Drosophila melanogaster: one gene and its partner. The protein of the gene in region 2 interacts with the protein of the main gene of each other region in a pairwise test. Each region holds a gene or a part of one and is shown on either strand. Other genes may lie near its edges.

Evidence for each region. Proteins that work in one complex are often made in the same cells at the same time.
Region 1: the proteins of CG31102 (region 2) and CG6337 interact in a two-hybrid assay, tested with the Drosophila melanogaster proteins (one large-scale study listed by BioGRID).

Annotation. Positions count from the first base shown.
Region 1 is NT_033778.4:13,831,538-13,838,821, forward strand, and holds CG6337 (uncharacterized protein), read right to left. Parts: upstream 3,560-7,284; 5' UTR 3,526-3,559; coding exon 3,430-3,525; intron 3,310-3,429; coding exon 2,383-3,309; 3' UTR 2,038-2,382; downstream 1-2,037. Other genes in the region: CtsL2 (cathepsin L2), read left to right, coding at 6,182-6,510, 6,952-7,284.
Region 2 is NT_033777.3:25,291,676-25,299,439, forward strand, and holds CG31102 (uncharacterized protein), read right to left. Parts: upstream 3,920-7,764; 5' UTR 3,627-3,919; coding exon 3,422-3,626; intron 3,161-3,421; coding exon 2,661-3,160; intron 2,597-2,660; coding exon 2,233-2,596; intron 2,177-2,232; coding exon 1,983-2,176; 3' UTR 1,783-1,982; downstream 1-1,782. Other genes in the region: CG31098 (uncharacterized protein), read right to left, coding at 1-14, 73-289, 353-1,195; CG31097 (uncharacterized protein), read right to left, coding at 4,663-4,865, 4,925-5,294, 5,349-5,845, 5,907-6,099; CG31288 (uncharacterized protein), read right to left, coding at 6,318-6,526, 6,593-6,962, 7,026-7,528, 7,621-7,764.

The DNA.
Region 1 (7,284 bases), on a different chromosome or scaffold from region 2:
TTTTTTTTTAAAGTATTTCCATTTTAGTTTATAACTGGGTGAATCTTTAAAGGCTTGCCCTTCAAGAAACCTGTAAGTGCAAATTTTAAAGACGAACATCTATCTATTTGCGATAAATACTTTGCAGTAACCAGGATTATTTTATTATTTGGTGTCATATTATATGTTGGGATTTTATCTACAACCTTTTTGGAAGGTAATCCATAGTTTCATTTGATTTATAAGCTTTTGTTCTGTGAACTAGTCTCAAAATTTGAGATCTGTTTTTTGCAATTCAATAAAATAAATGAGGAAGGGCATCCTCAAAGGCAAACCCTTTATGAAACCGATTAGTGCAAGTTCTAAGGATGAACACCAATCTTTACGGCAAAGAAGTTGCAATAATTTGGTATTCATAACTCATTTGGAAGCAGAAAATCAATTTTCGTAGTGAGAAAATTAAGAGAATAGCATTGAAATTTATACAGAGTAAATAAATGAAACCAAAGGAGAATCCATCAAATACTAAATACGAGAAGGAAATAATAAAGTTTGTCCATTGTAGGCTTCACGAAAACTAAACCATACTATATAGCCATGAGATCCCTATGATACATTTTCAACGGATTTCCGCGAAATTCCGGCGGAAGTGGAGCTGCTAGCATGGCTGATATACATAAATCTTCCTAATACTTTAGACGGAAAGTCCATAAACATTTTGATTTGTGTCCCCAATGCGATTCGAACACAAACCGAGGTACAGTCAACACAAAACATTGCAAGATATTAATAAACAGAAACACTAGCCAACATATAAAAACCAGTTACAAACACATCATTTTGTGTAGAAAACAAAAGCAAAAAACAAAGATATATATATACATGAGAAATTGCATAAATTATATAACATTATATTTATTTAGTTAAATATTATTAAGAATTATACGGAAAGATAATAAGATAAATACAGAGAGAAGCGAGAGCATATGTAGATAAACCTAACTAATTTTAATTTATAAAATAATAACAAACACTAGCCGTTGGTATCGTAATAGTGAAAAAATAAGAGAGTAATTAAATGGCGAAAAAGAAGGAAATTTAAAATCAATACCCCATTAACTAGTCACAGTACTTAAGGTTCCACAACTAAACCGATTACGATGGATAATTTCGATTTTGTTCTTCATCCGCAACGATTTTCCAAGGAAGTACCCTAAATATTGCAACTCAAGCACATCCAGAACAAAAAACAAAAAACAAAGAAAAACCTAATAAAACACAAGATCACGCAATCTTTATAAACTGCAAAATTATTGAAATAATAAAAATCGTTAAATCACCTTTCAGCGTGAATCATATCATTGAGCTTTGCTTCACAAGAAGACGGGAAGACATTCTAAACCAAAAATAAAAACTAAAAACTAAAAACCTAAACTAAAACAAAACAAAATGCAAACACAACGTACATACATATATTTCAAATTATTTAACGCAATTGAAATATAATAACGAGAAGTATTTATAATAACAACGTTTCCAAACAAGTTACTGAAACTTAAAAAATTTACGAGAACTAAGATTAAGAAATCTACAGAAAGAACACACACCAAAAAAAAGAAGCTTTTGTCTGCGCTGGCTGAGTCGAATATTCTATAACCATAAATATAATACCTAAATATTATATATATCTATATAATTTCCTTTCGTTTTTATATCACAGCAACACGGATAGCAACAAAATGGGAAACTTATTTATTATGCAAGAGAAACATAACAGAAAAAGAAAACACTGCAAAGATAATAGTATAAAATCCATAAGCAGATCAAAGATGCGAAAAACAAGAAAAGAAAAGAAAATAAAGTGAACTTGTTAATTTTTAGCATTTAAGTCTGTAAAGCTCCGCTTGTAGATGAAAAATCAATAAATAAACTAAATAAAATGGTAAATTCAATAAATGGAGACAAAAAAGCTGTAAGCTTTCACAACAAAAAACCAAACGATACTTTTTGGTAGAAGACGGGGGATTTTTTTTCAAGATTACTCTTTATGTAATATTCAAGATCTCGATGAATTATCTTAGCTTTATTTGAGATATTCCCAAATCTATTTCTTGGATGGTTCTATTACTATTCTTCTATTCTATGAACTATCATAGATATAGATAGGCACACTCTTAAGGTATCATCATAGTGTTATTATAGATATTCCCGAATCTGTTACTCGAATTCTAGTTGATTTAAAGATAATGCGTCTATAATAATAATAATAGTATTGCTTACTAGCATTAAGTTTTTTTAAAGAACTTACAGCATCTACTGAATCCGAAACAAAATCATCATATAAAAATTTACACATAAAACTTAAGTTTATTAACTTGAAATAAGGTCAAATCGGAATCCTTCTTAGGCAAGCGCACTGGGAAAGACGGCATTCTTGGCAATGGGCTGATTGGACCTGCGCACGATCCTGATGTAACCCTCCTCGCCCCACGTGTCGCCGAAGGAGTTCAGGCAGCGCCAGTAGTCCAGATTGGAGTCCACGTCGTGATCGTAGCCCACGACCACCAGGAACTGTGAGCTCTTTGGATTGGTCAGGGCACGCGTCTCCTGGACATAGACGCCACTGGAGTACTGCATGAATCCAAAGGTAGCCGGATTGTACTCGACTATGACGGGGAATCCATTCGATACGTAACGCATTACGGCGGCATCATCGTTGTCGGCCACCGTGGAATAGCCGGCCAACTTCACGCCCACTGACACAGAGGATGGGGGCTGGCACATACCCGGCGTTTTCAGGCTATTGTTATTCGGATAGTCCACCTCCGGATAGAGATACGCATCTGTCAGCTGGGTGAGATAGTTGAGGGCAGCCAGGGGCGTCTGGGTGCTGCATCCGGTGCCCATGCCCGCACAGTCCAGCAGCTGCTGGGCGGACAAGGACGAGGGCAGAGGATTGGCTGTCTGCACGGCATTCATGATCTCCACGGCCTTGGCGGTGGCATAGGCCCAACTACTGCTGCAGTTCACGCCCTGATCCTCCACCGCCACGGTGAGTCCGAAATCCGTGATAATGTCAAAGCTGGCAGATGCCGCTTGACTGGCCGGTGGATCACTGGCCGCCGAGGTCACCGTATTCACGGCTTTGGGCAGCAGGGCTGCGAACTGGATGAGCCGGATGTCCGAGAACTGATTCACTGCCTCGCGGTAGGTGGTGCGATTCCTATCGGCCTGGGCATTGTGCTGCGCCACCTGGTTGCGGTTGTAGATGAAGTAGTAGTTGGCGAAGTTGCGAGCCGAAGTTGAGGCATAGGTCTTGTTGAAATTGTCCTGTAAATGGAAAGATTTGAATTCCATTACTCAATACAATCCTTTTCAATGCCATAAGATACAAGATATAATTTCTAATTAAATCCCATCCAGACTTTGTTTTCTTGATGACTCACATACCTCGTAAGTTTGAAAGTCCACTAGATCCTGGCCATGATTAAAGGCCCATCCACTGTCGATGGTTAGTAGAAGGCAGCAAAGTAGCAACTTGAACATGACGAAAACCCAAATCCGCACCAACTAATGCCGCCAGAACCATGGAACGATCTTTTATAGGCACCGGCAAACTCTCCTTCTGATTGCAAACGCAAATAGAAGTTTACCAAAGCGACTTACTTTCGCAAGAAAAGTGCAAATACTCGTAGATTTCTACGAGGCCTTGAATTCGCACTTGGCCAGCAGCACTCAAACGTACTATCCGTAGTATTCATATTCCGGGTTGGGTCTCCTCGATAAGCCGACGTTGGTAGGAAAAGTCGGGGTGCGCTTTGTTTGCCCAATAAACTTGTCAAATGCCCCGTTTCGTATCGTTGCGATTCGGCGGTGGGTTCTCGTATCTCTGTTAATTCGAAATCCCCACTGGCCCAGTTCAGAAAAAAACACCCAAGCCCATATGCCCATGGAGCATCGTAAACGCCCCTCTAATGCCAACTTATCGTTTAGTCTTCAGGTTTTGTCTTCAGCGCAGGCATGATTAATCACAGTCATACTTTGTGGCGCCCATAAAAGTTGCAACAGCGTTGATAGATAGATACGTAGATGGAAAGATACATAGACAGATAGATAGATAGGCCCGTTGGAAGACTTGGCCAAATTGCTGTAAACCAAGTGCTAAGTGAGTTGTTTGGTAATTTCCATTGCGGTAGTCTAGCATATACTACAGGTAGTATATATTCGAAGTAGTAATGAGGGATCATCTTGAAATTTTGCAAATATGTAGGTAAGTCCATAAGGGATTTCAGCAGTCAATGAACTTTTTAGTAGACGCAACAACAAATTCAGATTCCACGAATCTGTTAATTGAAATGCAAATAAATTGGCCACTAATCAATCTCTTCATGGTTCAATTTCAATTTATAGTTATTGAAAGTCGAGACCATTATTCATCCGTCTGCATCTTTATCATTCTGTAATTGTATTATTTACATAAAAATCAAAGTGTTATTTATTTACAAGGGATATAATAGTACAAACTACTTAGAGACGCTTTAAAAACTTTCCTAAAACTTTGCTTGCTGCATTGAAATTTGTAATCCTATAGGCGCTACAACTGTGACTTCGATCTCATCAATTATTAACTATTTAAAAACATGTTTGACTATTTTCTCTTTTGTTTCAAATGAGTTAATATGCGTTGTTATAGCCACCAACACATTAGGCAATCGACAATTACTAAGCATGCATATAATGGAGACAGCTATAGACCCATAAACCAGATAGCCCGTCGAAATGAAGATGAATATGCTCTTGTCGGTATTCCAAAAGTTTCAAATTGGTGGCCCATCCAGTTTTGGCCATATGTCCCACGGTCCAGCTCCAGACTCTATAAAACCAAGGTGTGCGGGTCGAGCGCCGCTTATAATCTCGCCGGTCTTCGAGTCTTCAGCATCTTCGAATAGTTTTGTGATTTGTGAACGCGGAAGGTGTTTTGAACATATCATTCCCAGATATCCATAAAAGGTGATTAAGTCGATCTTTTCAACATATTGTGTCGTGTGTGTTGTTATTTTTCGATTCATAATGGTCCGTCGAAGACAAGAGAACTGCAATTGCTTACATTCGACTCGAAATTTGATTTTAAACAGGGGAATCCATCGCCTTTCACCGGGCACAGCATGTGATCAGTATTTTATGGCAACGAAAGTGAAATCTTAGCCTGCGGTTGCCTAATCTAGATTTGATTTTGATTTATTTGGGCCCTCGATGGAGCCAATTTGGGAGCTGAGGAAATAAAAGGAGAGACGAAGCCGCGAAATCATTCATACATTTCGAAATTCATCCGAATCGAATGCTTGCACTAATGTAATTATGCTAAGCATATGCAAATTAGCTCATTCACCCAGTAATTATTCACGTCTCATCGGTGATCGAATTCGTAAAACAGACCGGAAATACGAACAGCGAATGCTCTGCTAGTTTCAAAAGTCTATTTAATTTGGTAAGATCGAATAAAGTTGAGAAATTAAGACAGCGCATGATTAATTACCCATTAACGCGATTGCTGACAGAAGCGGATAGTCAGCGTGATAGAAAAAACCAATAATAATTAGTTTTTTATTCGTTTAATCGATCATTATGTTTTTGATTGTCTTAGAAACAATGTTGATTTCTGCATAGGCGATCATTAAACGGTTTAGTTTCTTCAAAACCAAGCTTGTTAAACAAACAATTTATTAGTTTCTTTGTTTTATTTTGGTTTTGCCAAACATTGTACTTACTCAAATTACTCAAAAAGACATAACATCATTTCTTATGTCAATGAAGACACTCCACTGAATATTTACCAATAAAAAGTATCTACTGGATAAACATTTTAATATCGAATAAACGCATAGATTTTGAGTGTGGCCTGTTTTCAAATTGTGCAGATTTTCTAGGAAGCAACGTTGCTTTTAATATGTCCATAAATAAATATTTATAGCGGCTCCACTTATAGGAAACTTCACGATCTGCACGGCAGGTTGGTTCGATTGGAGGTGAATGAACGGGTCGAGTTGCGGCCAAGTGATTAACGTTGACAGATAGATGTGGCAAGAAAAGGGGCATGAAAAGGGGTCGCGGGATGCGATGAGATGGGATGGGATGGTGTAACTATGTATTGGCCAAGTGGTTACCTAACGCTTTCCACTCGCTCTGCTGTCCACCGTTCCAGATGCGGATGTGCTCAACGATGTGGCTGCAGATGACGCTGGGACTGGCCCTGCTGGGTGCTGTGTCATTGCAGCAACTGCAGTCGTTTCCCAAGCTCTGCGATGTGCAAAACTTCGACGACTTCCTCCGGCAGACGGGCAAGGTGTACTCGGATGAGGAGCGAGTCTATCGCGAGAGCATCTTCGCGGCCAAGATGTCGCTGATCACGCTGAGCAATAAGAACGCCGACAACGGCGTGTCCGGATTCCGGCTGGGCGTCAATACGCTGGCCGACATGACCAGAAAGGAGATAGCCACCTTGCTGGGCTCCAAAATCTCCGAATTTGGCGAGTAAGTAGCACCATCTTACGCATATCTAGAGCTCGGGGGAAGTCCCCTTTTTGGCCATAAACGAATTATCACCCAGCTTATAACTTTCAAACGGGTTTCGGTATCGTCGTCCATATGATTTGTAACGTTACGTAGGTGCCGATTGGTTTCCCGGTTATGCTAATCAAGAAATCAGAATTGATCAAATATTCCGACCATAGGTTTGTGGTTTCCCGAAAACTATAACCAAATGGGTGGAAACAAACAAAACCCTTCCATATCGAACTTATTTATTACGACGAAGCTCCATAACAAATGTTTCATAACTTATCGGTTGTTTGTCATACATTTAAGAACATTATGAATAACATTTAAATGTAGTCTGGTTGCCACTTAAGTAAGCTACTAATTTGCTTTAATCTTTGCTTAACGGAATACTAAAATGTTTTACTTACCTTGCAGGAGATATACGAATGGCCATATCAACTTTGTGACTGCCAGGAATCCGGCGAGTGCCAATCTTCCCGAGATGTTCGATTGGCGCGAGAAGGGCGGAGTGACGCCACCGGGATTCCAGGGTGTGGGATGCGGTGCCTGCTGGTCGTTCGCCACCACAGGAGCGCTCGAAGGACATCTATTCCGGCGGACTGGAGTGCTGGCCTCGCTGTCGCAGCAGAATCTGGTGGACTGTGCCGATGACTACGGCAACATGGGCTGTGACGGTGGCTTCCAGGAGTACGGTTTCGAGTACATACGCGATCACGGTGTAACGCTGGCCAACAAATATCCGTACAC
Region 2 (7,764 bases):
GGCGCCAATGACACCTATAATGGTGGAGTCATTATGAAAACCAATATAGATAAATGGTGATGATGATCATACCCATAAGACTGGTCTTGATCAACTCGATGTGGATTTCTTTAAGAGTTGGAATGTGTCCCTGGTAGTTTAGCTTCTCCAGGGTCTGCTGAAGCACTCTCTGGTATTCCCTCACAATGTACTTATAGTGGACCTTACGAACATTCTCGTTCAAGGATCCGTAGAGGAAGTAATTGAGATCAATGGTTGGGGATCCCACATAGGCCAACTGAAAGTCCAACTAGTGAACGAAGAGATAAATTAACGTGGATTTCGAATGGATTCTCGTCTATGAATGACATACTGTGACCACATCGTCTGGCTCCTTGGTCTCGTTGTTGATGTGGAACAAGAGATTGTTGATCCACAGATCGGTGAGGTTGAAGACCCGGAAATCCTTGCCTGTGCTCTCAAACATGGTCAGCGCTCTTTGCAGGACATTCTCGGCCAGGTTGAACATCTTCTCGGTGATCTCCTCGTAGCCCTTCCAGTGAGCCACTTCCTCGGCCACGCAGCGAATGTTGACGGGGAAGAAGGTGAGGAAGTCACGACGGTCCGGATTCCTCGAAATGGGCGCCTCGTCGAAGAACTCCAGCACCTCGGGGCTATCCTGGGCGATAAGGGCGCTGCAAGCGTGCAGCTTGGCGACCTTCTCGATGGTGGGCAGTACGTAGTCCAGATTCAGCAGTCGACCGCGTTCGAAGTTCTCGAAGCCGGACAGCTGCATGTCCTCCAGAATCAGGAATGGCTCCGGCGATTCCGTGGTGTAGTAGCACGTAGGTGCAATTTTCGTTTGATCTCCAATGGATTGGAGCAAGGCTTGAATACGTGGAAGCACCTCCTTGTAAGCCAGAATCTCACGCTTGAAGAGCTTACTCCTGTGGGCCACAGCACCTGTTTGTCCCTTGGGATGATCCTTCACAATCACTGAAAACTTGCCTTTGGGTGCAGTGCCCCTCTGAAGATTGAAACTGGCCCGATGCATTTCGCTGGCAAATCCCGCCGCCTGGTCGCCCACTTGGGCGCTCTTTACTATCAACTCGGTGACTGCCAGCTGCTCTTCCTTGAAGTGTTCCTTCAGCACATCCTGCAGGAATTCGGCGGTGAGCCATTCCGGAGCCTGGTAGTTCTTGCTGCCGGTTCCCATTGTATTTTCTTCTTTTTTTCTCAAGTCACCTGACCGCACCGAATAAAAATAACAGAGAGCTGAGTAGCAACTTACGCTGGGGGCTATCGAATCAAGAATGTGGGGCAAAACATGTGACGGGCTGGGAGAAAGATAGAGCTTCTGTAAAGCTCTCTCTGTTGTTAGCTTTGCGCTGGCTTATCAGCTGATTTATGTATATATAATATTATTTATATGTACATGTGGAATCTATGGCGGCAATGAAACCGGTTTATTGAGCAGTGTGGAACTTGTGCCCGATAACAACAAATAAAAGTGGAAAAACAGAGATACATATATATTTAACGTACTTGTTAGTGATGTTTTACTGTTTTCCTTGGGGAACAAATAAAATGTGATCTGAATACAGGCAACTGTTGTGATAAGCTTTAATGACTTGGCATTTATCTAATGTATTTATTCTATAGGTATATATTCTATATTCTATAGATTTATACATATTCTATGCCAGTTAGAGGATTTTCTTCAGAACTTCAGAAATGCATTAGCACATTTTCTACAAGTTATCAACTTCAGAAAATTATTTCAATAAACAAATAGATTTGTTTATCTGCTGAAACTATGCTGTTTACTATATTTGTTTTGATAGTTGAAAACATATTAAATTATGATGTAAAAGAAGTTACAGTCCAAACGGGATAAAGTATGTAAAATATATATATATATCGATCTACTTGTATACATTTTTAGTCTTTAATACAAATTCATATACTTAATTTCGGTTTTAACAGTAATGACTTGAACCGCTTCAAAAGTCTAGAATACCACGCCGAAGTAGAAAGGGGAATATGCTGAGCGCAGAGCGGACGTAGAGTGGATTTGTGTACACCTTGGACCGGAAGCGATCTCCTTCCTCTCCCGGCTGCGTAAGCTTCACCAAGCTAGCTTCCGTATCCGGTGGCAGCAAAATGAACACAAGGTGCGTGAAGGTGGTAAAGTAGCCTGATAAAAGAGTTTTGTATCATTTATATATAGTGATCGTCTAGTTAAATTCTTACCCCAAAATCCATACTTGATCATGCTCATATGCAGCTCCCTTAGCATTGGTATTCGTTCGCTGTATTTTAGGATCTTTAGGCAGCGCACTAGGTGTGTGTGGTATATCCTGATGAAGTAGTCAAAGTATTGTATTCGTATACTATGCCGTGCCGAACATATGATGAGTTCCCAAAGATCCTGAGCCGGACTACCCCACTTGCACAGTTGGAAGTCCACGAAACGCACCTGGTTGATATCACCAGTTTGAGTATAGCTTAGCATTATGTTGCTGGACCAAAAATCACCGTGATTTAGAACTTTAAACTCCTGCGGATTGTTGTTAAAGCAGCTGGCGTAGGATTGCACAAATTGATCGGCCGTGGGCTTGAATACATCATCAAATCGATGTTATTGAATGTTAAGATATTTATTAGATTGTTTAACTTACAATGCGACTCACATACTGTTCGTGATCGGCCAGACCCCAACTGGCTATTGCAGTTTTATAGCTCTGGAGCCTCGCCTGATACGATTTCGATTTCTGATAGTTGGCGGGTAGGTAAATCCTCTGAAAATCATCGGGAAACGGTCCTTTTCGCTGACGCCAAACGGCACCTGCTGCATGGAATTCCGCCAGCTTTTCTAGCACTCGATGCATGTGGGCCATGTCGAAGCCCTTGAGGCGATTTATATTTCGGTACTTTTTCGTTTGCAAATCCTCCTGAACCAGGCAGATCCTTCCTTTGATATCCTCCGCATGGTGGCACTTTGGTGCAAACTTTACACTCAGCCCAGCTTCTTCGTAAAGCTGTTCCAAATTAGGTATAATCGTTTCGTACATCATCTTCTCCTTTGGAAAAATGTTGAGGGTATTCACGAATCCACCATTTCCCTGGGCGTCGTCCAGCATGGTCTTTACTATGTAGGACTTTTGCTGTGAGAATCCATCTATCGAACGATCGATAAATCGAATAGTTGTTATATTGTTTGATATAAATAGTATTATATATAGAAAGCACTCAAGTTGATTTGAATCAAATTTGTTTTAATTACTAAATAGGAATTAATTTTTGTAATTTGGCTATGGTTTTTCTGATTTAAAAAAATATAAGGTAATAGCTATTGTTTATTGCTTTTTTAAAATGGCAACAGTGCGTATGCGTAATGGCTCTTAACGATTGTGTACCGAACTGCGCCCTTTTTTCTCACCTTTCAACTCGATGTCGATGACGATGCGCATCAGCAGCGATGTATAGGTTTCTCCGGGCGGCGTGGCTGGAATGATCGAGAGGTTGAGGATGCGCCGGAACTCCCGAAACTCCCGCTTGAGCAGTCGCTTGAAGTAGGCCTCATTGATCCAGGCCGGAATGCGGACATCGCTGGAGGCGCTAAATTTATTGCTGTTATCGGGCATGGCGCTGGGATTCCGCCGGAGTGAGCTCACTGCGGCGATTGGCTCTAAACGGATTGGCTGTGAATTGGCGTTGTGCCCGGTCCGAAGTGTGCAGCGCAACTGTTTTGCGTTGCCTTGCCTTATCGAGAGTGTTTTTCTTATTTCAGACCCGCGATGTTATTTTTATTTCATTGCACGCACAACAACAACAACCATCCGTCGAGGTGGGTGACTTGAGGTGCGCACTTATCAACGCCCCAAAAGCAATGCCAACTGCCCGTCTAACTGGTTCGTCAACAGTACGGACACTGAGCATCGTCCGTCGGGCACGTTGGCCAAAAGACTCTCTCTGAAGGCAGTGGGTGATAATTGCCAGAGCTTTCCCATTCTCCCAGTAGCCAGACACTGGGTGCACTGGGCGCCGGGCTTATCAACGGTAGCAGTGTGGTGATGGGAATACCTGATAACCTGACATACGTACATATGTTGGTGCACCCATGAGTACGTATTTATGTTAATTTGAACTTAAACAATTTGGGAATTGAGTGTGGGGTAAAACTGCCAAAAGTATTGTATTTTTGGAAAAATTTTTTGATTTTGGCTTTGAAAGCTGTAAGCAAATAATTTTTAATATTATTAATAATTTTTTTGATGTTACTGTGAAAAATTAATTATTATCCCTTCAAGACTAGATTATTTTACTAGACTATCGCTTAATAGCTTTTATCAGCATTTTGATGTAGATACGGTGAGTACGTGATAAGTAGACAAACATTTTTGTTATCTCAAGAGTAAAATATGCACATATATACATATGTATATACTAAAACAAGTAATGCAATGCGTTAATTGTTGAAAGATAACATTTTTTGGAATCATATTTCTATTTACAGGCGTACTAGTTGGAAAACTATTTCATGGTCCCCGACCTTCGATTACGTTGCGGCCCCGACATTCGCCGTGGAAAACTTGAAAAATCCAGAATCAATATTCGCACACAATTTGCTTAATAGGTTCGAATGAAAGCTTCACTGGCAGATGCATAAATTGGCGATCACTAGTAGTCTTCGAAGTTGAAGAGTCCGCGGTTGCAGCAAATGGGATACAGCTCCTTGACGACTTCCACAAAGATGGGATTGGTGTACACCTTGGTACGGAAACTTTTGCCCACCTCGTCTTCTAAATTAAACGTGTGCAGGTTATTTTCCTTGCAAACTGGCAGCAAATCCCCCGGCAAATGATTCATTACGGCAAAGAATGCTGAAAATATAGAATTTCAGTATAAGATACGACAAAAAATATGTATATTCGTTCGTTACCAGAGAAAGTGTTGTTTTTCTTGTAGATAGCAGATTGCAGTTCCCTCAGTTGCGGAAGCGGCTTCTTGTACTTCAAGACTCTCAAGAAGTCGATGAGATATTCCCAGTAGATTCTTACAATATTATCGAATTCTTTATAGCTCGAATCCTTTCGCGCCGAAAGGATTATCAGCATAAGCAGATCCTGTGTCGGACTGGCCCATTTGCAAATTTGAAAGTCCAGTATAAGTGCCTCACTTGGGGCTCCATTTTCATTGTACTTAAAAAGAATGTTGGAGGGAGAAAAGTCCCCATGTGTTAGGACATTAAAGTCCTGGGGATCTACATTGAGGGACTCCAAACAGAGCTTGCCGTACTGCTCAGTAGTGGGCTGTAATTAAAGTTATTATTAATGTGCTATTCATGATTTCACTAGGAAACTTACGAAATTCTTAAGGTAGCACTCATCTATTCCCCACGTTTTCATGGCTGCCTTGTATTCAGGAGCTTTTACTTCGAATCTTCTCACACTATGCTCGATTTTGTCCTTTCTGGCGAATCCATTATCAAAGTCAGCGTGATATGGTCCATACCTTTCTTTGTATATCACACTGGCGGCATGCAGCTCGGCCAATTTACGAAGAGAGAGTCGCATGTGCTCCATATTCACTCCTTTCGTTCGATCTGCTGCCACGAAATTTCGAGTCGAAAGATCCTCAAATATGAAATATATATTTCCATCAATCTCCCCAATTTCCAGGCATTTCGGCATCAGCTGCACGGGATGTCCCGCCACACGATAGATTTTCTCAAACTGCGGCAAATAGGTGGAGTACATCTGCTGCTCCTTGTGGAAGTACCTCATTTCATTCACCGCCTTGCCACCTTTATCAGATTCCAGCATAGTCTTGACCACATACGACTTTCTTTTCTGAGATCCATCTGGGCAAAATTGGATTTACCACTCGGTTCTTATAAATAGGATCTCTATCAGCCAGCCTACCTTTCATTACTATATCCAAGTAAACTCGCAGCATGACTGATGCAAAATTACCACCTGGGGGCACAGCGGCCACAGTTGTAAACTGGTCTATCTTGGTGAAATCAGGTTCATCCTTTGCGATCAAGGACTCAAACTTTGACTTATTCAACCATTTGGGAACAACGAGACTTTCGTTGGGATTTTCGATATTCATGGAGCGCGACATGATTACAACTGATTTAAATCCGAAACGACATTATGTTCAACTTATCACAAAAAGTTATCGTCTCCGGAGATAATTTTTTATCTGAGGTAACAGACGATTACCTCGATGACCAGCAATATTATACTGATAAGGTGCACACTTATGCGATACCCCCAGATAAACGAGATTTCGTTGTACTTCCTATTATTTTATTGCCGGGCAATAAATCAGACATCGTAGTCCTCAAAGTTCAGTATTCCACGGTTATACAAGAAGGGGTACAGATCCTTCATAACGTTTCCAAAGGCGGGATTTGAGAGCAAACGTAGTCTATAATTTTCTCCTTCCTCCGTATTAGCGGATAAGTTGTGTATGTTGCTGTCCTTGTCGGTGGGGAAGAGAATAATGGGCAGGTGGTTCAGGATGCTGAAGAAAGCTGCAGAAGAATTGCATTTGCATGTTAAAGAAATCTATAGCGAAAATTATCGCATTAGAAACCTACCATAAAAGGAGTGGTTCTTATTGTTCATGGAGTTTTGAAGATCACGAAGTTTTGGCAGGGGCTTTTTCAGCTTCAAAACCTTCAAGCACTCGACCAGACGTTCCCAGTATATCCTTACAAAATGGTCGAACTCCTTGATGCGCAAATCGTTGGTGGGGGAGAGGGTGAGAAAGAAAAGCAGGTCCATGGCCGGACTACCCCACATGACAATCTGGAAGTCGATTAGTATCAGCTTCTCGAGAGTTCCGTCCGGCAGATAGCTGCTCATCAGATTGCTCGACCAAAAGTCGCCGTGGTTAAGCACATGAAATTCATCGGGATTTAATTCCAAAGTACTAAGACATTGCGCCCAATATTGCTTAACAGTGGGCTAAAAGAAATATATTGTTGTTAGTTTCAGCAGACCATGGAATTTCAATTATCTTAAACTTACAAATGCCTTAATATATTTATCGGCGTCTTTCAAACCCCACGAGAGCATTGCCTTCTTGTAGGCCTTCTCCTTCAGCTGGAACCCATCGACGTGGAATTTTTTCACATCCTTCTTAACGAATCCCTCACTGAACTCGCTGGGATAGGGACCATGCAGCTCCTCGTAAACCGCACTGGCCGCATGATACTCGGCCAGCTTTTGCAGGCACTTGGTCATGTGCTCCATGTCCAGGCCCTTCGTGCGATCCATGTTCTTAAACCTCTTAACGCACAGATCCTCGAAGATGAAATGGATGTCACCCTCACGCTCCTCGGTGTGCAGGCACTTGGGCGCCAACTGAATGTCCCAACCGACATCCTTGTATAGGGCTTCGAATGCAGGAAGGTATGTCTTGTACATCATTGCCTCCTTGGGAAAGAGGCCAAACTCGTTGATGTCGCTGCCTCCTCGCTCCTCGGGCAGCATCGTCTTGAAAATGTATGTTTTGGTCTTGACACTACCATCTGCAAAATATGGAGTATGGGTCAAGTTTCTGGGTTTCCAGTTGCTTACACCAGCTAAAATGCTAATTGGAGAATGTTTATCGCTAACTCACCTTTCATTTCCAGTTTGATATAAACCCTTAGCATGGTCGAAGTGAAATTTTCGCCCGGCGGAATCGCCGCCACTACCGTGAACTTCAGGACCTTGACATGATCGGGTTCGTCCTTGGCCAGTACACTCTCGAAATACTTTTCAT